Callithrix jacchus: one gene and its partners. The protein of the gene in region 2 interacts with the protein of the main gene of each other region in a biochemical or structural test. Links are inferred from orthologs where the notes say so. Each region holds a gene or a part of one and is shown on either strand. Other genes may lie near its edges.

Region 1 (6,039 bases), on a different chromosome or scaffold from region 2:
CTGAAAATGAAAGTTTTAATTTTTTTAGTATATAATTTTTTGATATTTTTATTAATAATTTTAAAAAATAATATATATTTTAAATATATATTTTGAAACATATACTTTTTTTTTTTTGGACAAAGCTCTCTGTGTAGCATTGATGATTAACTAAGCTGCTTATGTGTCTGAGAGTATCTTTTTATGGAGACAGAGAAAGAGACTAAGTGAATCTTCCATAAACTTCCAAACTATGGTTCACTGATTCAGTAACTTGGGAAGGATGAAGAATAATAACAGTGTTAAATCACTGAGGATATATTTAATAATATATTTAAAAATAATTTTATAGTGTTGAAATTATATCATACAAACTATGTATGTATAACATATAATTTCAACATATCATTTTTTGAAATACTCATTTTTTTCTATACCAATATATGAAGACTGTATGAAGACTGACAGGTGTCAAAGTATAATTGTGTAATTGGTCATTTGTAGAGGCATCCATAGAATTCACGAACAATATTCACTGAAATAAAATCAGGAGAGAATTTTCAGAATTAAGCCTCACTGGCAGTTTGAAAGCAGTTGAATTGTTCTCCAATGTTGTGTGGCAGTCCTGGGGCTATAATCAAAACGTTGGTATCTAGGTAGGAAATGAGTCTATGTCAACGTTACTCTAGAGGTTAAAGGTCTGTTTCTTTCAATCAGTTCAAACTGACAGGCCTCCTGCCATCACCTGCTCCTTAGCCAGGCAGACAGGCCCGTCCATCAGTGTGAAAACATCTGTTGAATGGATTTATTGACTGAGTCTTGTTTTTTCTCTCCCTTTCTCTTTTTTTTTTTTTCTTTTTCCTTCACACCATTTATGAAAGTTTTAATCTTTAAGTGCCTACTATTGGTTGGATGCTTTTATGTGTCATCTCATTATCTTTTTCTTTTTTGTGAGATGGAGTCTTGCTCTGTTGCCCAGGCTGGAGTGCAGTGGTATGATCTCAGCTCACTGCAATCTCTGCCTTCTGGGTTCAAGCAATTCTCCTGCCTCAGCCTCCTGAGGAGCTGGATCACAGGTATGCACCACCCCGCCTGGCCAACTTTTTTTTTTTTTTTTTTTTTTTAATAGAAACAGAGTTTCACCATGTCGGCCAGGCTGGTCTCAAACTCCTGGCCTCAAGTGATCCACCTGCCTCAGCCTCCCAAAGTGCTGGGATTACAGACATGAGCCATGGCTTCCGGCCTCATCTAATTTATTCTCATAACAATCAAGCTTGCTGAGGAAGGTATCAGCCTCCCCATTTTAAAGACGAAGTGAGTCTCCTCTTTCCCCAGGAAAACGGGCATGTTATTCACCACCTCAGCTCAGATCCCACCTCTGTAAAAAGGAGACAAAAATGCCAGCCTTATCATGCCCATAGGGTTGCTATTAAAAGAGGATTTTTAACTCCACTGGCAAAGCTGCAGACACACGTCTGCACCTGTTTCCTAGCTTCATTTTTAAGGGCTCTCTCACTTCCCCTCTCCATCACACACAGCAGATTGGGACACCAGGAATAGAGACATGGAGCATGAGGAAAAGGTATAGAGCTACAAGGTTAAATGGAAGAAGTACAATCTCACCTAGGTGACCAAGGATGGGGAGCCAGAAGACACAGATGTGCCAGGGTGGGGATGCTGAGGGATATTTTAATTTTCTGACTCTAAACATCTCTGCCATTATTCGGGAAGAGTACTAAATTCACTGAATGGCCAATGTGAGGTGGCACCACGGTTCTCTGCAGCCAGTTTTGGGGCATGACAGACACTTTTTTTACTGTAAGACAATTGAACAAAATGTGTGACTCTTCTTTAGCAACTAGAGCCATATCAGAAATTGCTTCTAATTTTCTTACCATCAGTAAAAGCTGAATATTCATACAAGAGACACAAGCAGATGGCTCATGGAAATCATGTTCTCAAGAAGAGACCAACTGTTCTCCCCCAATTTCCAAATCCAGCATTGTCTGATTAATAATTTTTGCTTTGCTTCAACACATACATAATCAACACAGGGATGAAACTTTCTGGTCACGGACCACTGATATAATGGACAGTTTTCTCCTGTCGTTATCATGCATCTATTCCTTTTTTAAAAATGAGAGATATTCATTTAAAAAATGTGGAGACACTTGATCTCTTCAAGCCATTTGTCTATGCTAGGAATCTTTGGCATCCTTTAATTTAGTATTTACTTTCTGATGTTTGCAAGTGACCACGAAGGTGCAGGATGTATAGTGGTGTATAATTTGGCAGAAGCATGAATCTCTGTCATCTGGTATGAGGCTGGTGAGTGGGAACAGAGCACTCAGGCCTTGCTCAAGCCTGGCTGCATGCCAGACATCTACAGCCTAATGTGGATTTTCTTCCAAATAAAAATGGTTTCTTTGGGACGAGGGAAAACAATCTGGGGAAAAAGCCATGCTATTTAATGACAGCTATCAATTTGCTAAAGGCCTTAATAAGTGGGACATAATTGCTTGAATTGTCTTCCCGGAATGGGAGAGAATCCAGACAGCAGAATGCCGAAAGGAGAAAGGAGCTGACAACTCACCTTTAGGGCCTTTTCAAGCTTACTATCTTTGTCTTTTTCTTTTTTAGACTTCTTCTTGGCCACTTCATCCACTCCATCCACCTCATCGCCTTTTCTCTTTCTGAAGGACAATGGGATATGAGAAAGAGCCGGAGTCATTAAAAATGATACCCAATGACTTGTGCTGATGCAGTATCTTCCTGTCATTTTATCAACTCCCTGTAGGGCCTGCTCACGCTTGTCACTCCCCAACCCCTGCCCCACTCAATGGTCTCAGACAATCACTGTCTACTCAGGCAGTATTTGCAACCAGGACAGCAGGAGACACCATCCATTTCAGAACATACTCTCCCAGCCAAAGAGATGGGCTAGGGTTGTTCCAGGGATTTAGAACAACCCATTATAAGAATCCACGGCTCTGGCCCTGTCTGAGGTTTTAAAAACAAAACAAAACAAAACAAACCCACGTATCTCGTGGCCTGGAAGGTTCTAGCAGGGACTAGGCTGAACATAAGCCCATGGCTAAGGGACACCGACTGCAGAAAGACAAAGCACAAGTGCAAGGAGGCTAAGCCTGTCCAGCTAAAACACATAGCTGCTTGCAAGGCCAAGAAGCTGCTCGCAGAGGTAGGGCTGTACTGCTATGTAAAACCCAGACAAGAAGTGACAGTCAAAGCAGTGCTAACCAGCTGACCCCAGGCACAGGGGCAGGACAGCCACAGTGGTCTGGAGTCAGTCTCAGCTATCACATAGACCTGAGCACAAACTCTGCATTTTCCTTGCCCATAAAATAGGGTAAAGAATACCATCTGCCTCACAGAACTCTGGTGATGGGCAAATGAAACAGCCCAAATACAGGGCTTGATACAGTGCCTGCCATACAAAACGTGCTCCACATATTCTGCTGGTTATCATGGCCTAAGTGGGAGCTGATGAACTCCTGACACCTGTATCACGTGCTGCAATGCCCTGTGGGCTTTTTGACCCATGGCCTGATCTTTCAGTTTTCCTGCACATTCTGGAGCCACAAGTGCTGCTGCAATGAACAGGTGTTATGAACTGAGATAGCGTGATTGCTGATTGATGGCTGCCCAGTCGCTGTCCAAGGAGCAGGGTGCATACTAGGCCCTGCCACACCACCCCTGGTGTGCTTGTTAACAAGCAATTCTCCAAACTGAGGCTGAGGGACCAGCAGAGGGTTAACTGGAGAGCAAGAGGCATCCATGGATTCAAGATAGTCACTGATGGGCCTTCCCATTCTAAATTTTATCACAATGCAAAATCCTTATCATTCTGAACTCTAAGCCAGGAAAATTATCCACTGCCTACCCTCTAACTAAAAATGGTCAGAATTCTCCCAGCATCGTTCCTAGAGATCAACCCAGGCAAAATGAATAATTGCCCAGGGAAGGAGGGTGGTATTTTAAGTATCTAAAGGGCTGTCGTGGGAAAGTGTAGTCAGCCTGTCCATGGAGATCAGATGTTGGACAGGGAACAGACCACCAGGAAGCAGGTCTCACAGGGCAGAAGGCTCTCGGCCCATGGAAACCCCCTGCTATCCTTCCCTACCCTGTCCTCTGCCCCAACATCTCTGCTGTCACCGTTCCTCAGTTTGCATCTCCCTGGCTTACTGACAGTAGCGAAGGAAAACACAGGAGTGGTGTGGAACCTGTAGAGCCTTCAGACCTCCCTCGAGCCCCTCACTGAACCCTCAAGGCAACCCCGCGGCACTCCACCCACCCTTCACTCTTGACTCCTGGGAGCTGCTTCTTCAGGGCTTCTTTATCCTCTGTAGCAAGGAGGCTGAAGCCCTTGAGCTGACTTGCACTGTACTCAGGCCGGAAACCCAGCTCCTCCCTGTTCTTGACAAAGCAGTCTGGGTGGTACCAGCGATCAATCATGCCTAGCTGTGGCTTCTCTGGGTCCAGCATCTTCTTGGACAGGCGCATCTGGCCCTGCAGGAAAAACCGTATGTGGTACCAAGGGAGTGACGAGGAATGATGGTGAACATGATGGGGCAGCCTGTGCTCCAGCCAGTGAGGAGCTGCAGGTCCAAGCCGAGGCCTGCATGACAACTTGAGGACTCATGGGCTTTTGAGAGGTTTTGGCTCGCTCAGGTCTTCAAGGATTGTGTGTTACCCTCAAGACTCAGGGTTCCTTAAATCCAAATGGCTGGCTACCTACCTACCTGTCTGGACATATGAAGAAATGCTAACATTCCCCTTAAGATGTTTCTGCTGACCTGGGGCAGGCATAAAAGCACACATGCATGGGATTCCAATGCAGCCCTTTCTTTTCATTTTTTGAAACAGGGTCTCGCTCTGTTGCCCAGGCTAGAGTGCAGTGACTTGAACTCAGCTCACTGTAACCTCCACCTCCCGGGCTTAAGCGACCCTCCCACCTCAGCCTTGCCTGGCTAATTTTCTGTAGAGACGAGGTCTCACTATGTTGCCCAGGCTGATCCAGAACTCCTGGACTCAAGCAATCCTCCCACCTCAGTCTACCAAACTGCTGGGATTACAGGCATGAGCCACCGCACCCAGCCCCCAATGCAGCACTTTTGTACTAGCAGGGATTTTCTGTCCACCCCCACCCTCCAATGGCCTCAGTCTCTTTAGAGACGACACTCCTTAAGAAGGAGTAATAAACCCACAGGCAACAATCCAGTCCTGCCAACCTGCGCAGGTCCCCAATCCCCAGGCCTGATATTCCCAGGAGAGTTCCATGCCTGAGAGGCTCAACCCAGAGAATGCAGCACAGCAAGCTCCTGACAATACATAAAACCAGCAACCCAGCAGCACATACCACCCAGCATTCCCCTTGAGGTGAAGAGGATCTTAATGTTTGCCTTAAATTTTTGGTGGCTGAAGGTAGCTGGAAAAGATAAAGCAATTCCATGTTTTTCTTTTGTAAATACCCACTGCTTACCTCAATTTTCTGTACAATGCCTCCAGGAGGCAGAAACTTTCAATTAATGCCTTATATGAATCAATTAATATGTGCATGTCACATTAGAGAAGGGTGAGAAGGCTGCAGGGCACAAGCTTTCCCTTCTACCAGTGTCTCTGTCCATTTTGTCTAACTGGCTGTCAGCCTTCAGGAACTAGAACTGGTGGAAAAGCCTGGTTAATGAATTTCCTTTGATTAAACAGAAGAGGGCTGGAGGCTCATATCAGGGCAAACACACGCCCAACACCTAATTCTACCATAAAACACAGAGAGTCTCTTCCCCAGCTACTGCTGGGTCTAAAAGAGATCCTTTTTGTTAATGCTTTCCAAGAGCATATGCATGCACCCATGAGAAATGGACCATGATAAGTAGGGCCTGACCTGTCTGGAAGTCACTGTCATATCTGGTCAGTACTAACATCTTCACTTTATTTTTAATCACTTGTGTTGAGCTAACATCCTAAAGCACTTATTTCTTCTTTTCTCTTGAGATAGTCAATGACATCAATGCAAGCAATCCATCAAGTTGAGGGATCTGA
Region 2 (6,625 bases):
GGGCGACTCTGTTCCCGGGAGTCCCCCATAGCTGGGCACGGGGTGCATGCTGGGCAGGTTCACCCCACGCTGCCCAAAGGTCCTTCCTCCGCGCTACTTTGGCCTACCCTGGGGCCTCACCCTCCCCTTTCCTGGGGCTGGATGTGATTGGATCCGTTTTGTCCCTGGAACTCAGGATCAGGAGGAGGACTCAAGGTAGGAGGGATCGCTTCCAGGAGCTGGTGGCTTTGAAACAGGAAGCCCCTTGCAGGCTGGCATAGCAGAAAGGAGAGGAAGGAGTGAGGGCAGGAGGGTCACCCCTCCCCCACCCATCCTAGGACCCGTTCTGGGGGGAAACGGGGAAGCCAGGAATCAGCCCCCTCAAACAAGAAAAACTGGAATTAGCACTGAACTCAGAGAGGGTTTGCTGGGACTTAGCAAGCTGTGGCCTGCCCCAGGCCTCTGGGCACGCGGCAGGGCTCTGCCTCCTCTGTTCCCAGGGTGGTGGGGCAGGCACCGCCTCCTCACTGGGCTCGTGGCCTCTCCTCTGCCAAGGGCGGCAGTGGGTGAGGAGGCGGCCAGACACAGGACAGAGCAGGGGGCCGGAAGAGGTGCCAGCTAACCACGAAGGCAGGTAAAGCTAAGCTTCCAGAGTATATAAAAGGGACGTGTAACTTCTCGAAAATGCTCTAGCCTGCACTGGCACATACAGTAAGCCGCTTAGTGAACACTGTCTTGGTGCAGTTAAAAAAAAAGCGCAATTTATCTTTTACCCTCCGAGAGGGTAAAACCCAAAAAGCACCATCAACCTCCTGGGCTGCTTCCTCCCGGGCCTTGTTAGTTCAGAGATGAGGGCTGCCCTCCCTTGCTTGGCTGTCACTGCTGTTAAGTGGATGCCAGGGTGCCTGACCTTAGAGGGTGCTCGTCAGAGTTGGGGGCATGCCAGCACTCAGTCCCCTGATGGGTCAGGGATGAATGCAGTGGGCAGTGTGGATGCTGGGGCAGTTCCTGAGCAGCCAGTGTGTGGGGCAGGGCTGGATTGCTGTTGCTGGTCTGCCTCAGTCTCCTTTACTGTGAGGGCTGGGGCAGGGCAGGTGTGGAGGGCTGGATGGAAGGGTCTCTCTCTTCAAGCTGCCCTGGGGGCTTCACAGGGTAGGGTGTAGCCACATGGTCCAGGGAAAGAGGGGAGGGTTAGAGGGTCCTACCACTGGAATCCTCTTCCTGCTGGCCAAGGGTCCTGTTGGAAGCTGGAGCTGCAGTGGGTATGAGTGAGGCACTGGAGCCGAAGGTGATTTGGAAGGAAGTCTGGACAAAGGGTGCCTTGAGCCTGGGGCTGCTGAGCTCAGGCAGAGGACTTTCTCTTCTCCTCCCAGGGGCAGATGAGAGGCCTCGCCAAGACCTCAGCCCTGTAAACCCCACCATGGCCCCCTCCCATGACTCCAAGAGACTGCCTTCAGGCTCTGGGCATTCTCCATTTAGAGACTTGTACTCTGCTATTTATTTGTCTTGCCTGGGGAAGTAAGTCCCTCCCCACTTAGGGTAAAGAGGGGCTGGGGATGGATGGAGAGCTCATGAAAGTCAGGATGGCAGCCAGGGAAAATGCTGTATTATTTACAAATGTGACCTGGCCCACAGACAACCTTGGAAGCAGCTTCTTTCTGGTTTTAAAAAGACACCGACATTGACTTTGATATGTTTATATTATAGATATAATACATAAAACATCTAGGGTGAGACTCTATGTTCTCCGCAAAAGAAGAGAACAAAGCCGTCCTTCCCCGCTCCCAGCCTCAGTGATGTGTTGGCGGGAGGCCACCTCCCTTCTCCACTAGGAGCCAGGGCCTCTGGGGGACAAGCCTTGCGGGCAGCCCAGGCTGGAGGGGCCAGGGAAAAGCTGAGGGCAAAGGAGAACACCCCTCACCTCATTGGTCCCTCAGGAGCCAAAGTAATCCCAAAACTAAAAGGAAAGAGTCTCAGACCCTTCCCCCAGCTGCCGACGGAGAGTCTCATTTTGGCAAGTATCCGAGCAAAACCAAAACAAAACAAAAACCAAATAAAATGGTGGTTTAGCAGAGACGCGCACATTCACATTGCACAAGGCACTGCTGGGGCACAGAGGCCAGATACAAGTGTTGATATCGGCTGATAAAGCAAAATATTTGGAAAGCTTGTCATAACTCCGGTCCCTCTGGGATGGACTGATCGTGCTTTGTGTTCCTATGGCAATGCTGAAGGCATACAGTACAAACAAGGCTGAGGGTCCCAGTGGCCCTTCACCCCCTACAACCGTCTCACGCAGGGGCCAGATCTCTAGGTCCCCTCTCTCCCATCAGGGGTATACATCCTCAGAGCTGACCCACGATCTAGCTGTCTGGCCTGACTGGGGGTGGTGGCTCCCACTGGTCACCTGGTGACCCCCATATCTCAGTGAGTTCCGCCCCAGGGGGAAGCCCAGCCTGTGGCAGGCTGGGGTGGGGTGTGTGCGGAGGGATGGGAGAGGTGCGGAACAAGAGACCCTCCACCTTCATGTAGAATCAGCGGAACAACCTTAGGTTCAAAGCCCCAAGTCCCTATGTTTCCACCCCTCTATAAGAAAGGCGCCGAGGAGCGGCTGGGGCTGGCTGGCTTGTAGGGATCTCAGCTCCCTGAGCCCTCCTCCTCCCGCCACGGGCCGCTCCCTTCCTTCTCTCATAGGGGCCTGCTGTAGCCTTGGGAAGGAGGCAGGAAACCTCCAAATAAAATGACAAGGCACGATTTGCTCCCCCTACTCGGTAGGCATCGGAGCAGAGAGTTTACATTTCCAAGGCACAAGGTTATCCTTAATACTAGAGTACCGGGCTCCCAGCTCAGCCCCAAGAATTCTCTCCTCCTCGGAGGGAGAAGCCACCGCCTGGCCCCCTCATCTTAGACGCACCAAGTCCGGCGCAGAGGAAGGGAGGGGACACGCGGAGCAGGCCAGGCTTTCAGGCGGCACCGGAATCACCTAGTCCTGGCTCGCACGTCCCGAGCAAGCCTCGAGATCCGGCGACCCAAAACCACTCCCGGGGTCCCCGCCAGAGGCTGGCCCAGGGCGGTCCCGCAGCCGCGCGCCTCACGCGCAGTTGCCCATGGCCTTGACTAAGGAGCTCTCTGGCAGCTGGCGGAAGATGCCCCGCAGCGTGTCCAGTTCGCGGCTCAGCTGTTCCACCCGCTTGCGCAGGCGGTCATTGTCACTGGTCAGCTCCAGCACTTTCTGCTGCGTCTCCACGTTGCGCTGCTTGGCCTTGTCGCGGCTCTTGCGCACCGCGATGTTGTTGCGCTCGCGCCGCACACGGTACTCGTTGCTGTTCTTGTCCACCGACTTCTTCGCCTTGCCTGCGCCGCCGCCGCCACCCGCTCGGAGGTCGGCGTGCGCGGCGCCCAGCCCCTTAAGCGCGCCGCCTGGGCCCGGCAGGCCGGCGGCGCCGAGCGCTGGCGCGGGGTGCGGACTGGGCACAGGCGTGGGCGGCGGCGTGGGGTGACCGGGCTGCAGGTGCATGGTGGTCTGGCCGCAGTGCGCGATCTGGAACTGCAGGTGCGGGGCGGCCAGATGCGTGGGCGGCGGGTGCGGGTGCGGGTGCGAGGGCGGCGGCGGCGGCGGCGGCTGGTAGGGGAAGAGGCCGGCCAGCGCCAGCTGCTTGGCTTCGTCCTCCTCGCGGGGCTCCTGCTTGATCACAAGCGGCCGCAGCGCCGGCGCCCCGACGCGCTCGTACAGGGGCTCCAGCCGGCCGTCCAGGTAGCCGGCGGCCGCGCACCCGTAGCCGGGTGGGGGCCCATGCGCTCCACCGGGCATGACGGCGCCGCTGGCGCCCGCGGGCGCGCCGGGGTAGTCAAAATCGCCGCCGCCGCCGCCGCCCGCGGGGCCAGCGGCCGCCTTGGCCTTCTCCTGCTGCCGGCTGTGCTGGAACAGGTCGGCCAGGAACTCGTCGTTAAAGGCGGCCGGGTCGATGTAGGCGCTGATGTCGATGGACGTCTCGTGCTCGCAGATGCCGCCCAGCGGCTCCGGGGCGGCAGGTGGGGCGGGAGGTTGCGCGAGGCCAGCGCCCCGGGGAAAGCCGAAGGCGGCGCTGCTGGGCGCGTGCGAGGGGCTCTGCAGGTGGCTGCTCATCAGGGGCCGCGGCTCCACCTCGTAGAAGTCGGCCGACTCCATGGGGGAGCTAGAGTTCTCCGGGCATGGCGAGCCTCGGCGGCCTCCAGCCAGCGCGGGGCGCCGCCGCCGCCGTGCACCCGGAGCCCCTGCTCGCCCGCGCCCGCGCAGCTCCGGGTCGCGAATGGCCCAGCCCGCGCAGGCCCCGCTTTTATACCCTGCAGTCCGAGTCGCCCCCTAGAGTCCGAGGCGGCCTCTGTCCCCTGGCGGCGGCGGCGGCGGCGCGGGGTCCGCTGGGTCCTAGCGCGCAGACGGAGGGTGGGGGCGAACCAGCGGGGCCCAGCGCGGCGCACCACAGGCAGGCTGAGGCGCAACGCCCACCGCCTCCGGCTCACCCAGCCGGGCCGCGGCGCTCGCTCCAAGCTCCGCCCCGGGCCCGGCTGTCGCCTCCGCGCCCACGTGGTAGGTGGCTGGGGCCCCCTCCTCCGGCCTTCCCTAGGCGCTCATATCCAGCCGTGGCCGGGAGCCCTGGAGCATCCCGAGGTTGCACGGGGTAGGGGTGGAGCGGGGCGGAGGGCAAGTCTTGGTCTCGAGCTACTGTGGTGCGGACTCGCTTTCAAAGCTTGAACCAGGCCAGGCCTGTCTGGGACCCGTGTCCCTGGGAGGCTGCGGCGCTGAGCGACCGGGCCGGCGGGGGCCAGTGGGGGGTCGTTTGGGACGCGCGGAGAGGCCCGGAGCGCGGTGACTCTGCGTCTCCTAGCTCTGATCTGCAGGCGACCCCTGTGATTCCGCGCAGAGGCACCTCTCCGAGGACGCCGGGATCCCATGAGCGGGCGCCGCAGGGCGCTAGGACCCCGCGGGGAGCAGAGGCGGCCCGGGAGTCTGGAGGATCTGGCCGGTCGATCCGCCCCGGCTGGAAAACTTTCTTCGTAATTATTTCTCCAGCCCGGAGCGCTCGGCTGCCTAGGCGCGCGGGGCCGGCGCTACTACTCGGCTTGGTGTTGCTGATTTTTTTCTTGCCGGATGGGCGGGCTCCCGGGACAAGCTGAGCTGGACGCCGGGGCGAGCACGGGGAGGGGCGCACCGAGGGAGGAGACTAACTTAACTCCCGGCCGGGATCCCTCGAGACGGGGACCGTAGCCCGCGAGGCCCGAAGCCACGGCTTCCTCCCCCAACTCCCTGTTCAGGTGGACGCCTACGGCTGGAGCGAGGGTGTCCAGGTCGCCAGGTCCGAGCACCCACAGGGAGAACTCTGCCCTGTGGTTCGCTGGACGCTGGGGTCCCCGGGATCTTGGGTGCCGTGGCCGCCGGGCCCTGGAGCCCCTTAGGTGCGGCACGCTGACCCTCTCACCGCGGCGGGGGAAGGAGCTTGCTACAGAGACCCCCAGCCATGTGCGTCCCTCGCTTTCTTTACCGCAGCCGGGGATTGCGGACTGTCAGCTGTCAGTCCCCGTTGCGGACTGTCAGCTGTCAGTCCCCAAAGACCCCGTTGGGGCCCTCAAGTGTCTCCTGCCCCTGCCCGCGCCGCCCGTCGGGACTGGCGCTGAGGCCAGACGCCGCCTGGGTCCCGGCTAGAGGCTCGCTTGCCTTCAGGTGAGGGAAGACCCCTTCGCCGACTGTGGCCTTCTTAGGCCTGGCAAGGCGCCACTACCCGCCCAGGAGCCTCCGAGGGGGTGCAGTTAAAAACACTGCTGGAGAGGCTCCGAGCTTCCATAGCGATTGCAGTAAAGAAGCAGTTTCATCTGGGCAATGCACACTGTGCTTTAATCAAGTTCCTATTCAACATATTCCCAGTGATTAATAGCCCAACTGCTTCGTTTTCGGTCCAGAGCTCATAAACAAGATATTTTTAGCTTGACGCTTTTGGACGGGAGGGAGTAAAAACTAGATAAGTTAAATAAATAACCCGATCTGAGCCGAAGAGCTGCTTGCTGAGCCAAATACAGGACCGGTTCATACACCATCCACCTGTGGAGGGAGACCTGGACAAAATCAAAAAAACACCCAGAGCGACTTGCATTTTTTATTCTGCGGTGCTAAAACTAATGGCTTTTCCTAGGTAGTAACAAAGAATCTCCACTGTACATGCACGATTCCTGGCCCGTGCAGTGCAGGGAGGAAGGCCATGTCTGGCCTCTTTTGCACAGCTTGCTGTTGCCTGCCCAGAGATCAAGAACTCTGCCGCTTAGGGCCGGAAGAAACCTCAGTATGGGGATAAGATTGTCCAATAAGGGGCTGATGAATGTGTGGGGGTGAAAATGGCAAGCAGTGGGGCTCCCCCCCTGGGAGTCTCCAACCCCAAGGGCCCTAGGTCCTCCTACAATTGAACCAGAATTCACCCACCCCGGCCTGCCCTGTGCAGGGTGCTGAGAGCCCAGGGATGCGTGAGAAGGTGGTCCCTGCCTCTGGGAACTGGGACAGTGGGAGAGACTAATAAAGTGTCACACAGAGGCTGCTGGGAGGAAGGAGGACACAGAAGGAGTAGGGGATGAGACCTCATTCATTCATCAAATGCACAGGAGGCACGAATGGGAATAAAGG
Region 3 (5,467 bases), on a different chromosome or scaffold from region 2:
AGGGCAATTGTGTCATCGCTACCTTCTGTCACCTCTTTGTGTGAGTCCAGAGTTGATGAGTTCACCCTCATTCTAACCTATACAGGTTAGAGTTAAAATTCCATCCTATGGTGGTTACGCTTAGAGCAGGTACTAGGCAGAAACTGAAAGGGGCAGGCAGAGGTTCCTGAGGCCCTACCAGTGTTTTGCTTTGTGGATCTGTTGGTTATGCCTGTGTGTTGTTTGTGAACATTTGTGCATTTTTCTGTTGTTACACTTTACAGTGTGAAGTATTTTTAAAAGTCAATCTGGATGCAAATTTCCTTCTTAATTTAGAATAGATTCTGAAGTGAAGCTATAAATAGTTAAGCTATAAACTCAATCAATAACCCTCTTCCTTTCTCTACTTTTGTGATTCAAATTAATGACAGCTCAGTATTTTCCTTGCTTCCATTTCCATTTTTCTTTTACACTTAAAGAAAAAAGTAAAAGAAAGAAAATGCCTTGCTTAGCCATTTTAATTAAGTCTAATGAAAGGGGATTGGTTCACAATCCGAAGTCCCAGGATACCTTCGGAGATCTGTGTGAAGCGCTGCAATGACAAAAAAAAAATTTTTTTTTGAGACTCTCACTGTCGCCCAGGCTGGAGTGCAGTGGCACGATCTCAGCTCCCTGTAACCTCCACCTCCTAGGTTCAATCGATTCTCCTACCGTAGCCTCCCAAGTAGCTGGGATTACAGGCGCCCACCCCCATGCCCAGCTGACTTTTGTATTTTAGTAGACAGGTTTTCACCATGTTGGCCAGGCTGGTCTCGAACTCCTGACCTCATGATCTGCCCACCCTGGCCTCCCAAAGGGCTGGGATTACCGGCATGTGCCACGGCAGCCAATCCAAAATTTTGTTTTATGCACGTGACACTGTTCTCAGCTTTCTCAAATTCCCAGGGGTCCATGGCCCAAAACAGACAAGTTGATTTTTAGAACTCAAGGTTAATTTATGCATGCTCATCTTCAAATATTTCTTGATTCTGATTCTGCTTAGAGCATAAAAAATAGGCTGGGCGCGGTGGCTCACACCTATAATCCCAACACTTTGGGAGGCCAAGGCAGGTGGATTACAAGGTCAGGAGATCAAGACCAGCCGGCTAATACAATGAAACCCTGTCTTATAAAAATAAAGAGAGCATAAAAAAAATAAAAAATGAGTCGGGCGCGGTGGCTCACGCCTGTAATCCCAGCACTTTGGGAGGCCAAGGCGGGTGGATCACGAGGTCAAGAGATCGAGACCATCCTGGTCAACATGGGTGAAACCCCGTCTCTACTAAAAATACAAAAAATTAGCTGGGCATGGTGGTGTGTGCCTATAATCCCAGCTACTCAGGAGGCTGAGGCAGGAGAATTGCCTGAACCCAGGAGGCAGTGAGCCGAGATGGCGCCATTGCACTCCAGCCTGGGTAACAAGAGCGAAACTCCGTCTCAATAAATAAATAAATAAATAAATAAAAATAAAAAATGTTTTTTGAGTCTAAATCTAATCCAAAGCACCCACCAACTTGGTGTCACCAAATGGACTCCATCCCATCAAAATAAATCTGCCCACTGGAAAGACAAAAGCAAATGGGTTCAAGTCCGACAAAGGTCACTGTTGATCACCATCAACATGTCTCCTCTTCCACCTTCCCCTTGCTGCCCATCCCCAACCAGATGGTAAGCCCTGAGGCCGGAGACCTTTGCAACCTCTGGGTGAAGCTGCATAAAGCAAAGCAGATTGAACTCGAAAGCAATTCACCACACCTATTTACGAAACCAGATTTATTAAAATTTCTCTACAAGTCAGAAACGGCCATCTCACTGTTCACATATATACACATATGTACAGGAAGAACCTAGTGTTTCTAGCTTTCCCGGCAGAAGCCCCTGCCAACCCAGCGTCCTTAGCCGGATAATGTATCACAGATACAACAGTCGAGCAACCACGAGAGCATTATAGACAGAGGCCTCTGTCCCCACTTCTCCAAGTCCCATGATTCTGTCAAGGTAATATTGCCAATAATCATTCACATTTCACGTGGTTTTAGACACGCAGGTGATTCAGACAGACACAGACAACAAAACAAGCCTCAAAGCCAGAACAAAACACAACAAATCGGACACAGGTATAAAAGGTAAAATGTATTACAAAGTACACAGTACGTGAGGTATACACGGCATTCTCACAATGCATGTTAGTAGTTTGCCTAGGCGTAGCCCTTAAGGATGACTGCCTATGTTTGTGCCATTTCTCAAAATACAGTATGTTTTTGTTTACCCGTTTAACCACCTGATTTCAGCACTGTCCAAGACAGTTACTGATATTTCATCTGAACTTGCTTTTTAATGGAAGTTATAGTTTCTCCATTAAAGCTCTGTCTTTTGGAGGGAGTGAGTTCCCATCTCTGGACGTATCTAACAGAGGCTGGATTCCCACCTACGAAAGAAGCTGAAGGGGGGATTTCTGCCTTGGGAGGTGGCAGAAAGAGGAAAGAGATTGGACCGGATGATTGCTGAAGACCCTTCCAACTTTAAAGATTTGGGGTTTGCTGTTTCGCTCCAGAAGCCGATTATACAGATATATTCATAAACCACACATCTGAAATATCAACAACCCATCATGCAAAACTGCAGTTGCACACACAACGCCAGAGGCGGACCATGTCTGGGAGGGCTTAAGTGTACTTCTGGAAGTTAGTCTGAGAATCAGAAGACTATCCGAAATTCACTCTCTTCAAAGCGCAGAGATGTTTAATGTCTGCTTTTGGGAGAGGTGGGTAGGAGCCTCCTTATCTTCCTCCTCCTAGACAGAACGCTCCACCCTGAGATGGTCTTGGGGAAAAAGTAAAGGGTGGGTAAAAAGGGTAGGTACTAACATATTTAGAAGGAACTTAAAAAGCAAATAGTTTCCAAGCACTCATATTATTTCTTAAAATCTGGAGTCTCTCTGTCTGACCTCAGAGTTCTGAAATCGTGGGGAGGTGGAATCTTTTGCGATGCTGTCCACGTTTGGCTGGTAAGTGCTTTCATAGCTAGAGGGGGAAAGTGTCAAGGTCAGGGAGAAGGCATTAGTGCAGATGTGGTCTTGGCAGGAAACAGAGGAGAGTCTGGGTTCATGGTTCCATCAGCTCCTGAGCAACTTAAAACGGTCTGCTCCAAAAACGGAGCAGAGTCATTGAATGTGAGTGTGAAGAATGGGTGAGTGTTAAATCAAAAAAGGAACCTTCCCGTCAGAGAAGCTGCGGTAGCACGTCTAGCTACCAGAGATGAGTTCAAAGATGGCAGACTGAACGGCCCAATGTGTCACCCTGTTAAAATACGGTTATTGCCCAAAATATGTCATCATACGATCTGCTTTTTCTCCCATTCAAATGCTCGAGTTTATGACACACTTGACCACCGGGTGTAGGATGTCCATACTCCTGCCATCCGTAAAAGGTGCGGAACTCCCAAATCCAGCAGAGAGTTGGCGAGAGTTCCTTAAGAGAAATAACTTTGCAGGGCAGCCAATCACAGCGTATGCCGCTCACATCAGTAAAGTCACTCCTCCCAACAGATAAGAGGTGGCGCCATGCCGAGTTCAGCAGCCTTCATCCTAACGCAGTCATTATCTGGTTGATACCATGCCAAAGGGCCTGTCCATCTTTAGAAATGGAAATACCAGGTGTAAGAATTATGAGGTTTCTGAGGTTTTGGGGATTAGCAGAAGAAGGAACTCATGTCACTGTCCTCCTGGTACTCTGGAACAATCTGGTCTGAAGTTCCTATTTCTGAGTCGATGTACCCAGGTTCCAAGATGGACTCAAACCAGGGGTGCAGTAAGATCTCGGGGGCAGTGAGTCTCTCAGAGGGCTCCCGTCTCAAGAGGCTGCGAATGAGGCACCTGGCTTTGGGGGAAATGTGTTCAGGAATGCAGAACTGTCCACGCCGGATTTTGGAGAAAAGGGCACTGGGGTCCGAGTCATGGAAGGGGTATCGTCCAACCAGAAGGGTATACAGCATCACCCCTAAGCTCCAAACATCCGCAGCCTTTCCAGAGTAGGTCCCGGTGGTGTTGAGGATCTCAGGGCTCACGTAGGCTGGGCAGCCGTGTTTGTCTGACAAAGCATCATCCTCCCCCTTGATGATGTGTGTGTCTTCCAGACTTTCTAGTCTGAGCTGGGTTCTGCAAGAGAGAGGAACCGAGCCATTATTGCCATACCAGCTGCTATGAAAAACAAAGCCTTCCCAATAACAGCGCCCACAGGCACTAACAGCAAAGGCTCAAGGAATGCTATTTACCCCTTCATCCAGTAAGCAGCGCCTGCAACTGCTGGGGACTCGTGATTTCACAAACCAACACAAACTGCAATACATGTTTGCAAAGTATCGACAGAGCGCCTGGGGTGGAGGGTATGATGCAAAGCCCCAAATAGTATTCATAATGCTAGAGCTTACAAGAGATATCCTAATAGGAGTTACACAATCTACTAAGTTCGCATTGCAGAACTGGGAGCTTGTCTCAGGGGAGTGCTGCGTTCTCTACAAAAGCTATCAGGGAAGAGCAGCAGATCTTGCTTCTTCAGGGAGGGCCTGAGCATCCTACGAGCCCATCTTTTCTCTTATGCCGCTAACTGCCGGGGCTCCCTGGACCCACACTGCATTACAGAACACGGAGCCTAAAGTCACTGCTATTACATACACAGGTTTTCAGCGCGGGTGCCCACACTGATACACGCACGCAGAATGAACTTTGTCCACCTAGGCCCAGGCTGTGACAATTATGATGGGAAAGTTGTAAGGAATGTTAATTACATTTATTGGGGTGTTTAACTGCAAAGAACACTTTGCCTGGACAAAGAGGTTATGCCCACAAACAAAAGTATGAGGGATTTCAGGGAGGCAGGGCCCCGGAAATTCTTCTATAGGGACACACACTCCCCTCGACGGCACATTAACATGTGGGCATATTTATTCTACAGGGGCGTCTGTCTTCAGGTAACTACGAAAGTCCCAGAAACCTCAGTCAAAGGCTCTCTTATGAAGCTGCAGGTGCCTCCTGATTCAGAACCAACCACCCATGTCTCCTGGATTCCCCAAAGCCCAAAGCCAGGTGGGAAAGCTCTAATATCTGGTGACACCCTGCCTCTGCCTGCTTCTCTGAAATCGCCCTGTTTCAGTAAGTCACTAGTGAAGTTAAATGCAAACATTTGGTACTGGCTGATGGGTCAATTCCTTTTCCTCTCAAAGGTCTGGTATTTTTTTTTTCTTCCTGCCTTCCTGTTCCCTGGAGTGTAGTATACATGTGCTAACTTCAGTATGTCCTCAGCGTGACCTCCCTGTCGTTATGTAAAATACCCATTGGTTCTGTAAACGGAAAATATGACTCAACCCACACTGTCTCCCCATGATTGGCTGCTACAGCACTAAAACCCTGCACCTGTGCTGGTTACATGAATAGCGTCAGCCTGACATTGCT
Region 4 (4,212 bases), about 20 Mb from region 2:
CTCATTCAACCCTCAGAAGAAGCCTGTGAAGTTTCAGGCATCCTCGTCCTACCTGTTTCACAAGTGGGGGGCCCTAGTACTAAGCACCTCGCTTGAGGTTAAGCTAGGATTTAGAGAACCGGGTGTGAATTCAGGAGGTCAGATTACAGAATAAGCACTCCTTATCGCTATCATAGGGGAGAGGAGGACAACTGAGGTTTGGGAAAACAATGACTTGGAAAATTCAAAAACAAACAACTAACGTGAACCCCTTATAATCCATCCCCAGTCCTGTACCAGGCTTTTTCTTTTCTTTTCTTTTTAAGACAGTCTTACTCTGGCGCCCAGGCTGGAATGCAGGAACCCAAGAATGGCTCACTGCAGCCTCTGGCTCACTACCTCTCTGGCTCAAGCAATCCTCCCACCCCTGCCTCCTAAGTAGCTGGAACCACCAGTGCCTGTCACCACACTCAGCTAATTTCTGTATTTTTTGGAGAGATGAGGTCTCTCTATGTTGCCCAGGTTAGTCTCAAACTCCTGGTCTCAAGCAATTCTCCCACGTCAGCCTCCCAAAGTGCTGGGACTGCCCAAAGCCACTGCACCCGATCCTGTACCAGGCCTTGAACAAAAATGCTCACACGATCTTCCACAGGACCCTCTCCTTCAATCCACAGATATTCACTAAAGACCTGCTATGCATCAGGCCCAGGGTACTCTGGGGCTAGCAAGGTAGACACAGTCCCAGCTCTCACCGTGCTGGTGGTGACAGCTACAGGAGAAAGGACCAAGGTGATGTGTGAGCGTAACTGAGGGGAACAATGGCTAGCCCAAGGTGGCCAGGGAAAGTCAAAACACAGTCCTGGTCGGGTGAGGTGGCTCACATATTAATCCCAGCACTTTGGGAGGCAGAGATGGGTGGATCACCTGAGGTCAGGGGTGTGAGATCAGCCTGGCCAAAACGGGGGAACCCCATCTCTACTAAAAATACAAAATTTAAAAAATTAGCCAGTCATGGTGATGGGCGCCTGTAGTCCCAGCTACTTGGGAGGCTGAGGCAGGAGAATCACTTGAACGCGGAAGGCAGAGGCTGCAGTAAGCCAAGATTGGGACAGTGCACTCCAGCCTGGGGAACAGGCGAGATTCCATCTCAAAAAAAAAATCCTATTATCCTCCCTGATTTTGAGGCCCCCTCTTCCAGGCAGCCCCCATGATCTCCAGCTACCACTCATTCCCTGCATGTCTGCTGCATCCCTCTCACAGTGCAAGTTATAAGCATTAAATGACAGGCCAGGAGGGTTTCTTCCCGCATTTACCACCTGCTACCCTCCAAGACTGCAGAGACTCCAGGAGCCAACCCCCGACCATCCAACACTCGGTAGGGCCTCAACAAGTATTTGCTGAACAATAAGGGACACTGGACCAAACAGTAACAATATCGCTTCCCACTTGCCAGGAACCATTTCACAGGCGTTCACCAATTCCATTTGTGAGGTTACCCCCTTTCACAAAGGAGGAAAACTAAGAGGTTCAGCGAGGTTAAGCCACTTCCCTAAAGTGACAGTGTGCTAAGTGACTGACAGCACCAGGAATCAAACTTGAATGCACCCTATCAATCCAAACTGAAAACTTGTTTCAAATTCTTGCGAAGTGTCTTTTCCACTTACTCACTTTGCACTTTCCCCAAGGAGTCACTGACCAAAAGAAAAAAAATCAAGACTGGTGTCTTCAAGACAGGGACAAAACACTCGCCTAAAAAGTCCACGTTGGAAGGAAAAAAAAAAAAAAGAAAAAGAAAAAAGCCTTCACCTTAAAAACCAATTGGGAAGCAGTAAAAAGGATGCAAAACCTAAGCACTGCTTTTATACAGCAAACGATTTCCTCCGCGGTCCCCTACTTGCAGCCGACCCCATCCCCAAACTTCCCCAACCCCAATTCGGGCAAACATTCTGAAGTCACTAATTCCAAGGGATTGGAGGAGTCCTTTACCTTTCCTTGAAAATCTGGAATGACGCGTTTTTAAGACAATTTGAGGTCGGCTAGCCCAAGGGGGTCGCCAATGCCCGTGTCCGGTCGACGCCGGACGTTATCTGGAGGTTTGGCTACTGAGCCCCAATCGCAGCTTCGCCAAAAAGGCAACATTAGGGTCTGACCCGTTACCACGCAGCCAGAAAAGCCCCAACGCCTGCCTATTGTTGCAAGCGCTGAAATTGGGAGGGCGACTGTGGGGGTGCCGGACGAGAAGGGCGAGCTTTGTCCCGCGACCCCGGCGAGAGCGCGCGCGGAGGGGATCGCGCGGCCTCCACGCGGCCCGGGTCCCCCACCCGCCCGCCGCTCCGCGGGGACCGTCCCTGCCGCGGCCTCGCGATGCTGTGGCCTTCCCCACGCGCGCGGCTGCCGGCCGGGCTTCTTGATCCTCGGGCGCCGCCGTACCCTGGCCCCGCACCGGGCGCGCCGGTCGCCCCCTCCCCCCTCAGCGCCCGGCTCCATTCAAACCGCCCTCCCCAGCCCCGCGCCGCGCTGCCCCCGCGGCCCGCGTTCCTTACCGGGAGCGGCAGGCGCCGTCGCCTTCCCGGCGCCGCCCCCGCCCCTCCGCGCGGGGCCGGGGGCAGAGTGAGCGTCTCGCGTCCCCTCACGAAACAAAGAAGCCGCCGCCACCGCCGCCAAGCGAGGGGAAGCCTCACGCGCGCACCCGCCTCGGCCACCGCCCCCCCTTCAGACACACGCGCGCGCCGCCCGCGCCCCCGCTGCGCGCGCTCTCGCTGGCTCCCCTTCCCCCAGCTCCGCGGACGGCCTCTCCAGCTTCCGCCGCCCGCCCGGCCTCGTGCGCGCGCCAGTCCGCCCTTCCGCTCCCTGCGCGCGTGCGCTCCCGCCCCTAGGCTGACAGAGGTGGGCGCGTCCAGGAGGAAGCACGAGCGCCCGACGCACCGCCCCACTGGGGCCGCTATAGCCCCGCGCCTGCGCACGGGTAGCTTTGCCCTCTGCACGCCGCGCGTCCTATCGCCCCAGAGCATGCGCACAGCGGGCGTCACTGCGGTGGCGGCGAGGGCTCTGGCGGGCTAATTGGGGGAAGGGAGTCCGGTGGCAGTGGGGTCCGTGGGGAAGGGAGGTCCCTGAGACTCGAAAATAGGAACTTGAACCGTAGGATGGGCGAGCTGGGCCTAGACCGGGCAGTGGTTTCCCGCGGGCCAAGGGGGAACCGCTTTGATCCCTGGCCGGGGCGGCGGGGCCTGTTTGGCGAGGCCGGGTGGGGCCCGACCGTGGTCGCCTTCTCTGCAAAACCTCCCTAGTGCCATTAATTAGCTTAGCAAATGTTGATTGATCTGCTGCTGTGTCCAAGCCGTCGTGGAGCCCACGGTCTAGTTGGGGAGGAGGACAAGAAGCAAGATTAATGAGCGAAATAGGGCAGTGTGAGAGGTCAAACTTGGTGGCTCATGCCTGTAATCCCAGCACTTTAGGAGGCTGTCGGGGGCAGATCACCTGAGGTCAGGAGTTCGAGACCACCCTGGCCAATATAACAAAACACTGTCTCTACTAAAAATACAAAAATTAGCGGGGCGTGGTGGCACACGACTGAAATTCCAGCTACTCAGGAGGCTGAGGCAGGAGAATCGCTTGAACCCGGGACGTAGAGGTGGTAGTGAGCCGAGATCGCGCCATTGCACTCCAGCCTTGGCAATAAGAATGAAACTCCGTCTCAAAAAAAAAAAAAAAATAGTGTAAGGTGGAGACTGGGAGGATCGTGGACATTTTAAATAGGGCAGCCAGAGAAGCAGTCATTGCAGAGAACACGTTTGAGTGCAGACATGCCGGCAGTGAGGAAAAGAAACCCTGTGAGACTGAAGGCCCTGAGCCTCTTGGTCTCCGCTCTGTGTTTTTATTTTGTTTTGTTTGTTTTTGAGACGAAGTCTTGCTCTGTCAGGCAGGCTGCAGTGCAGTGGTGATCTCGGCTCACTGCAACCTACACTTCACAGATTCAAGCAATTCTCCTGCCTCAGCCTCCCAAGTAGCTGGGATTACAGGCGCCTGCCACAACACCCGACTAATTTTTTGCATTTTTTAGTAGAAATGGGGTTTCACCATGTTGGACAGGCTGGACTTGAACACCTGACCTCAGGTGATCCGCCCCTTGGTTTCCCAAAGTGCTGCGATTATAGGTGTGAGCCACCAAACCCGGCGTTTTGTCTGTTTTTAATATACTTGGTCTCTTTTAAGCATGCTCTGAATAAAGAGACC
Region 5 (6,747 bases), on a different chromosome or scaffold from region 2:
ACTCTGTCTTCCATTTCTTCTGTGTTCCCCACAGCACCTAGCATGGTGCTAGGTACACACTAGGTGCTTAACAAATATTTTTTGATGAATTGAGAGAGGAATATGGGCAATTGTAAGGTAATGCTTTGGGGGATAAATGCACATTACATATGTATAGGCTAAGGGTCTTTAAGCTCTTGGTTACAACACAGATAAAGGACCATAAAACATTGCTGATTTGAAGCCTCGGCCTACTGCACTGCGCTGTTGTATTAAAGGAGATGGGAGCTTCTACATAAGGCCAGGCCTCAAGGATCCTTCAGTCTGAAAAGCCAGAGGTTGAAAGGGGATGTGATCTAAATCTTTTTTTTTTTTTAATAAAGATGGGGTTTTAGGGCCGGGTGCAGTGGCTCATGCCTGTAATCCTAGCACTTTGGGAGGCTGAGGCGGGTGGATCACGAGGTCAAGAGATCAAGACCATCCTGGTCAACATGGTGAAACCCCATCTCTACTAAAAATACAAAAAATTAGCTGGGCATGGTGGCACGTGCCTGTAATCCCAGCTACTCAGGAGGCTGAGGCAGAAGAATTGCCTGAACCCAGGAGGCGGAGGTTGCGGTGAGCTGAGATCGCGCCATTGCACTCCAGCCTGGGTAACAAGAGCGAAACTCCGCCTCAAAAAAAAAAAAAAAAAAAGATGGGGTTTTACCATGTTGGTCAGGCTGGTCTTGAACTCCCGACCTCAGGTGATCTGCCCACCTTGGCCTCCAAAGTGCTTGGATAACAGGCGAGAGCCACCATGCCCCACCAATCTTTTTTTTTTTTTGAGATGGAGTCTCGCTCTGTCACCTGGGCTGGAGTGAAGTGGTGCGATTTCATCTCACTGCAACCTCCGTCACTCAGGTTCAAGCGATTCTCCTGCCTCAACCTCCCAAATAGCTGGGATTACAGGTGTTTGTACCACCATACCCGGCTAATTTTTGTATTTTTTGTATAGATGAGGTTTCAGCATGTTAGCCAGGCTGGTCTTGAACTCCTGTCCTCAGGCAACCCACCCACCTCAGCCTCCCAAAGTGCTGGGATTACAGGCATGAGCCACTGCGCCCTGTCTAAATCTGCAGTTTAAATGAAGGGTGTGAACAAAGTGACCACAACTGGCTTCACTACATTCCTGGCACCATACAACAAGGTCTACAGGCCTTGAAGTGAAGCCCTAAAATAAAAGAGGCACTAAATGGAATCATTCTCCCAAATATATGCAGACTATGGTTAAAACAGATGCAGAAATGTTTTACCTCATTTCAGGGATAGAGATGTATACTAGGTACTAAGGCTGTTGTTGGATATCCTAACATTGTGGTTGATATTGGGGTAACAGTTGCATCCTTTCCTCACCATTCCCCTTGGTGCTACTTTAGAAAGAGAACCCTGTGATAGAAGCATCATAGGTCTGGGCCAAGAACAGTTCTGTTGTTCTTGGATGTGGGGAGAACGGGGCTGGGTGGAACTTGGGCAAGCCTCCATACCATCTCAGCAAAGATGCAGCCCAGGCTCCAGATGTCCACAGCTGTGGAGTAGTATTTGCAGCCCAGGAGGATTTCAGGAGCTCGGTACCACAGGGTGACCACCTGAGGGACAAGAATAGGGAGGGTGGGGTGGTTTATAGGGTACAGAGAGTCCCAAATCTCAGTTCCTCAGCATTACTCTGCTAACTCTTGGCCTCTTAACAAGCAGTTTCCTTCCCTCCATCTTTGCCCTCCCACTGATTTTCAGTCCATAGTTCTGGAGACCATGTTTTCTGAAACCCCAATTTGAGATCTTTCTGGAAAAACTTGAGACAAATGGTCATCATAATTTTATTTGATTTTTTATTTCTGTAGAGAGTGGTCTTGCTATGTTGCCCATGATGGTCTCGAACTCCTGGGCTCAAGTGATTATCCCACCTCAGCCTCCCAAAGTGTTGGTATTACAGGCGTGAGCCCAGTTAGCAACACAGTATGAATTCCATGCATACCCTAGGACTCTTTAGGATGTCAAGAGATTACTTCTACCTAGTAAGAAACTGTTGGCCAGATATTTTTAGTAACTTTGTGAATGCCCTAGTTAACACCTCTTGGGAAACTCAGAGAAGAAAGGCAAAAAGGGACTCACCTCATGGGTATAAGTACGAACAGGGACTCCAAAAGCTCTGGCTAGTCCAAAGTCTGCTAGCTTGATGGACCCTTCTGTGTTTATAAGCAGATTCTGAGGCTTAAGGTCTCGGTGTAGGACCCGATGAGAATGGCAGAAAGCTAGGCCCTGGAGCAGCTGGAATAGATAGCTCTGACAAAGGAGAAAGAGAGGACTGTGTTTCTTCACCACAATGAGCAGATTGGGTTTGCTCTGCGCCCCCATGGTTCTACTAAGGCCTTTACTGCGTTGGATTATAATTACATATTTACAAGGTATTTCTCCCATTAAACTGTCAGCCCAGAGAGGATAAGGAGCAAGTCTTACTCAACTTTGCATTCCTTTTCTATATGCTGCGCATTGAATAAATGTTTGTTAATAGATTCAAAGTAGCTCTGGGAGTGAAGAATCCAGCCCTAAAATAGATAATAGACTCATTGGCTAGTTCTTCCACCAAACAGAAGGGCTTTTTGGAGGAATTTACCAGGTGCTCTCAAATCCCATTTATCTGAGTTTCATCTGACCTCCCACCTGAGTTGCTAGGTTGACTCACTAGAGTTTCAACTTTGATTCTTCAGTCCAACCCTGGAGTTAATGAGTATAATGAGCAGGGAAGAAGACACAAAAAGAAGGGGAGTGTGTGTGTGTAGTAGATGAGGGCTCAGAAGAAGGCCAAGATCATAAAATATCACCCAGAATTGCCTGCCATCAGTCCCCCAAGACACGTCCATGATAGGGGGGAGCTGATGAGAAGCATTACCTTGATGAGGGGAAGAGGAATGCCAGTGAGAGCAGAGGCATCCATGAATTTCTTGAGATCTTGGTGCAGAAATTCAAAAACCAGGTAGAGTTTATTTTCTGTGTGAATGACATCCAGCAGCCTAGAGAAGGAAAGGTCAAGGAAATGGAGGTGCGAGAGAGAGAAATGGCCACACTGTACAGACAGAACTCATCCTTCTTTCCAACTGGATCTACTCTCAGACACATACTTACTTGACAATATTAGGATGGTTAAGCTCCTTAAGCAGAGAGATCTCTCGGATGGCAGTACTGGGCACACCCTCAGTCTCACTTGGAGAGGTTGGGAAAACAGAGATGGGAATATGGTTACAAACACTCCTTTTTCCCCCTCCCAGTCATTTCTTTCCCCCAAGGAGGCACCACCCAGCACCCCCTAGGAAAGTGAGAGAAGAGAAAGGGTGCTGGAAGGAGCTAATTCCTGGGTAGTCAGGGTGTGGCTTTTGGACATATTAAGGTCATTATCTCCTCTTTTCCCAGGGGTAGGTAAGTAAAGCTGCCTGGTGAAGGTAAAGCAGGGAGACTGTAACGGGTGAGAAAATAAAAAATAAATTTAAAAATGCAGGAGTAGCACCCAACCTCCCCAGAGGGGCCAGTGAGGTTCAACTGCCATTCTTTGGAAAGAGGAGAGAATTCTTAGGTGAGGGTGGGGCAGTGAGGAGGGCTCTTCATTCAGAAAGGCGCTACTCGTCTGTTCCCACATAACTCAACTCCATGGAGAGTCTTGGACTTCATCTCAGAGGCCTCCTTTCTCTCCCCGAGTCTCTGTGGTCGCACAATTTGGGGACGCCATCGGGCTCAGTTTGAGAAGAAAGTTTTCCATAGATTCTACACCACCCTGTACTCTCCACCTTCTACAGGCCCCCAACCCACCCCTCTACTTCTAAAGAAGTCCCTCCCTGCTCTCTTCCGGTCGCTGGACCGCTACCCGCCCGTGGGGGGTTGGGGGGCACAGTTAAGGAGGTCCCCTTAGGAGTCCCGGGTACAGAGGCCACTCACGTGTCCAGGCGGATTTTCTTAAGCGCCACAACTTCTCCCGTCAACTTGTTTCTGGCTTTGTACACAACTCCGTACGTGCCCTCTCCGATCTTTTCCACCTTTTGGAAGTTCTCCATGAAGCGCCAGCGAGTTGGGTCTGCCCGGCCCTGGAGCGGGGGCCTGGGAACCCTGCAGAAGGCGGTCCCTAGCTCTCGGAGGCCGAGGAGGGGGAAACAGGGCCCAGTACCGTGGCCCGGCGTCGGGATGGAACGCTGTATACCTCTCGCTCTTGTCAATTTGGCCAACTTGAAACAATGTTGCCGCCTCCCCCAGAGTTCCCGACCGCCACCAGAGGCCCCGCCCCACCTTCCCGCGTTTCCCTGGCTCCGCCCCCAGACCTTCTTATTGGTCAACGTCAGAGCGGGGGGGGCAGCCCAGAGCTCCTCCCCGCAAATGACCCCGCCCCAGGCAAGTTTGGTTCTTGGGGGCTAGACAAGTTTCTTTCCCGGTGGGGCGGCTGAACACTCTTTCCAAGTACCTGCTTAGGGTCCGAGTTTCTATGTTTCTAGTCTGTAGGGATTTCTTGATTTCTAACTCACTATTTCCACCACTCCCGGGGAAAATATGTATCGACTTAAGGTTAAATTCCACCTGGCCCAGGAGCCTCCTTTGAAAAGCAGGAAGTCAGGGATCTCGTTGTAAAGGATTCCTTGGCCTCGGAAGAGTCGTTGCCTCCGCCTCATAGCCTACCCCAACGCTGTCTCTGTTTTGGGGTGCAGGGTTCTTTTTGTTTCCTTTTTATTGAGACGGAGTTTCCCTCTTGTTGCCCAGGCTGTAGTGCAATGGCGCGATCTCGGCTCACCGCAACCTCCGCCTCCCGAGTTCTAGCAATTCTCCTGCCTCAGCCTCCCGAGTGGCTAGGGTTACAGGCATGTGCCACCATGCCCGGCTAATTTTGTATTTTTAGTAGAGATGGGGTTTCTCCATGTTGGCCAGGCTGGTCTTGAACTCCTGACCTCATGATCCACCCGCGTCAGCCTCCCAAAGTGCTGGGATTACTTACAGGTGCGAACCACCGCGCCCGCCCTTGTTTCTGTCTATTTGAGAAATTCCTGGTTTAATTCACTCTCCCATGATGAACTGTTGTGTCTGGTATGTGTTATGCAGCTGCCTTTCAGTCAGCTCTTGCCCGAGAGTGTATCAAGATGAGAATGACCCTGTGAAACCAGAAACTGTCATTGAGTAGCAGGATGGGAAAGCAATGTCTAGGGCCCAGGTTCCCTTTGTCAGTTTGTTTTTTCTTTTTCCTCTCCTCCGGCCCCTCCCAGGCATTCTCTGAAGGAGAAGAGGAAGGGCTATGCAAATGAGCACCCTTTTCTTATATAGGGGCCTATCCCAGCCCCTCAGTGTCTTTGGTTGCTGGAGGGAAGAACACAATGCGTCTGGTGATGAAAAGGTGCTTTCTCCATTTGGCTGTGATAGGTGCTTTACTGGCTGTGGGGGCTACAAAAGGTATGTGCGGATATGTGGACATGAGCAAGTGTGAACTTGGGGATGAATTCCCCTGCTCTGGTTTCTCTCCTCCTAATGGGAGATACTGGCAATATTTCAGGCTTCTCCCTCCTATTTGGTTTGTGAGGTTGTGGGCACCTGGGCTCCCTCCCTACATGGAGATTTGGGATTGAGCCTGAAAATAATTTCATATGCTTGGAGGGGCGAAGGATAGAAGGTCTGTGGCACTGATTCTGAGGCTTCCTTGGCAGTGAGCTGGAGCAGGGGCTCCAAAGGGATGAAATGTCTCTTGGGGTGGGGGATTTAAAGTGGGGAGTCAGAAAATGTGGTATTGGGTAAGAAGACTAAGGAGATACATCTCTTGGGATGGGTACGGGTGAACACAGCCCAGAAATTTTGTTCTGGGACTGAGAGAGAGATAGGCAAAGGGGTCTCAGCTGAGCATCACATGAAAAGGCTCTGGGGGATTGGGCCTCGTGACAGGAGCGGGGGAGGGGGGGTGGAGGGGGGTGGTTGGTGAGAGGGTCTGGAATGTCTCGTGCTGCTCTGAGGAGGGAGAGTTGGAAGTGGAGAAAGAATAGGGTATCTTATGACTTCTCCTGCTTTAGTGGTAGGATGCTCAATGAGATGATCCAGATTCTCCCCCAGCAGAGTCAACTAGGGTTACAGCACACATTAGAAAGGGATGAGTCCTGGTGCAGTGGCTCACACCTGTAATCCCAGCATTTTGGGAGGCTGAGGCGGGTGGATCACTTGAGGTCAGGAGTTCAAGACCAGACTGGCCAATATGGTGAAACCCCATCTCTACTAAAAATACAAAAATTAGCTAGCATGGTGGTGCATGCCTGTCATCCCAGCTACTCGGGAGGCTGAGGCACAAGAATCACTTGAACCTTGAACCTGGAAGGTGGAGGTTGCAGGGAGCCAAGATCGTGCCACTGCATTCCAGCTGGGGCAACAGAGCAAGACTCTGTGTGGGTAACACCCCCCGTGGTTACCGAGGAAGAACTGTGCAGACCCCAGGCACAATTAGTGCCTGAAGTATAACTTACTGCTTGCTATATTTAGCTTATATATACAATTATACTTAGTTCCATATAATCTTTCCATATAATTATGTAGGTATTGTAGTTGGAGCTGTACTAACACATTTAGTGCTGATTTATATAATTTTTCTATATAACCATATAGTAGTTTGTAGTAGGAGGAATGCCTAGAGCAGTTACAAAGCAGAAGCAGTACATGGGAAAACAGCCAGACCAGGACAAGAACCAAAGACCCAGGCGGTAGCATCCCTGCCTGAAAGGGCAT

Evidence for each region.
Region 1: the proteins of CEBPA (region 2) and PARP1 form a complex in vitro, tested with the Homo sapiens proteins (2 studies listed by BioGRID, with this or other methods). The link is inferred for Callithrix jacchus from reciprocal best matches to the Homo sapiens genes CEBPA and PARP1.
Region 3: the proteins of CEBPA (region 2) and TRIB1 form a complex in vitro, tested with the Homo sapiens proteins (2 studies listed by BioGRID and IntAct, with this or other methods). The link is inferred for Callithrix jacchus from reciprocal best matches to the Homo sapiens genes CEBPA and TRIB1.
Region 4: the proteins of CEBPA (region 2) and SMARCA4 form a complex in vitro, tested with the Homo sapiens proteins (2 studies listed by BioGRID, with this or other methods). The link is inferred for Callithrix jacchus from reciprocal best matches to the Homo sapiens genes CEBPA and SMARCA4.
Region 5: the proteins of CEBPA (region 2) and CDK2 form a complex in vitro, tested with the Homo sapiens proteins (2 studies listed by BioGRID, with this or other methods). The link is inferred for Callithrix jacchus from reciprocal best matches to the Homo sapiens genes CEBPA and CDK2.

What each region holds. Positions count from the first base shown.
Region 1 is NC_133520.1:22,856,951-22,862,989, reverse strand, and holds part of PARP1 (poly [ADP-ribose] polymerase 1), read right to left. Parts: intron 4,507-6,039; coding exon 4,292-4,506; intron 2,673-4,291; coding exon 2,573-2,672; intron 1-2,572. UniProt on the Homo sapiens protein: Poly-ADP-ribosyltransferase that mediates poly-ADP-ribosylation of proteins and plays a key role in DNA repair.
Region 2 is NC_133523.1:30,118,099-30,124,723, forward strand, and holds CEBPA (CCAAT/enhancer-binding protein alpha), read right to left. Parts: upstream 4,271-6,625; 5' UTR 4,148-4,270; coding exon 3,071-4,147; 3' UTR 1,661-3,070; downstream 1-1,660. UniProt on the Homo sapiens protein: Transcription factor that coordinates proliferation arrest and the differentiation of myeloid progenitors, adipocytes, hepatocytes, and cells of the lung and the placenta.
Region 3 is NC_133517.1:71,929,581-71,935,047, forward strand, and holds the end of TRIB1 (tribbles homolog 1), read right to left. Parts: intron 4,175-5,467; coding exon 3,709-4,174; 3' UTR 1,777-3,708; downstream 1-1,776. UniProt on the Homo sapiens protein: Adapter protein involved in protein degradation by interacting with COP1 ubiquitin ligase. The COP1-binding motif is masked by autoinhibitory interactions with the protein kinase domain.
Region 4 is NC_133523.1:10,115,935-10,120,146, reverse strand, and holds the start of SMARCA4 (SWI/SNF-related matrix-associated actin-dependent regulator of chromatin subfamily A member 4), read right to left. Parts: upstream 2,801-4,212; 5' UTR 2,523-2,800; intron 1-2,522. UniProt on the Homo sapiens protein: ATPase involved in transcriptional activation and repression of select genes by chromatin remodeling (alteration of DNA-nucleosome topology).
Region 5 is NC_133510.1:63,707,071-63,713,817, forward strand, and holds the start of CDK2 (cyclin-dependent kinase 2), read right to left. Parts: upstream 4,297-6,747; 5' UTR 4,062-4,296; coding exon 3,946-4,061; intron 3,220-3,945; coding exon 3,142-3,219; intron 3,030-3,141; coding exon 2,909-3,029; intron 2,302-2,908; coding exon 2,131-2,301; intron 1,608-2,130; coding exon 1,506-1,607; intron 1-1,505. Other genes in the region: melanocyte protein PMEL, read left to right, coding at 5,361-5,436. UniProt on the Homo sapiens protein: Serine/threonine-protein kinase involved in the control of the cell cycle; essential for meiosis, but dispensable for mitosis. Phosphorylates CABLES1, CTNNB1, CDK2AP2, ERCC6, NBN, USP37, p53/TP53, NPM1, CDK7, RB1, BRCA2, MYC, NPAT, EZH2.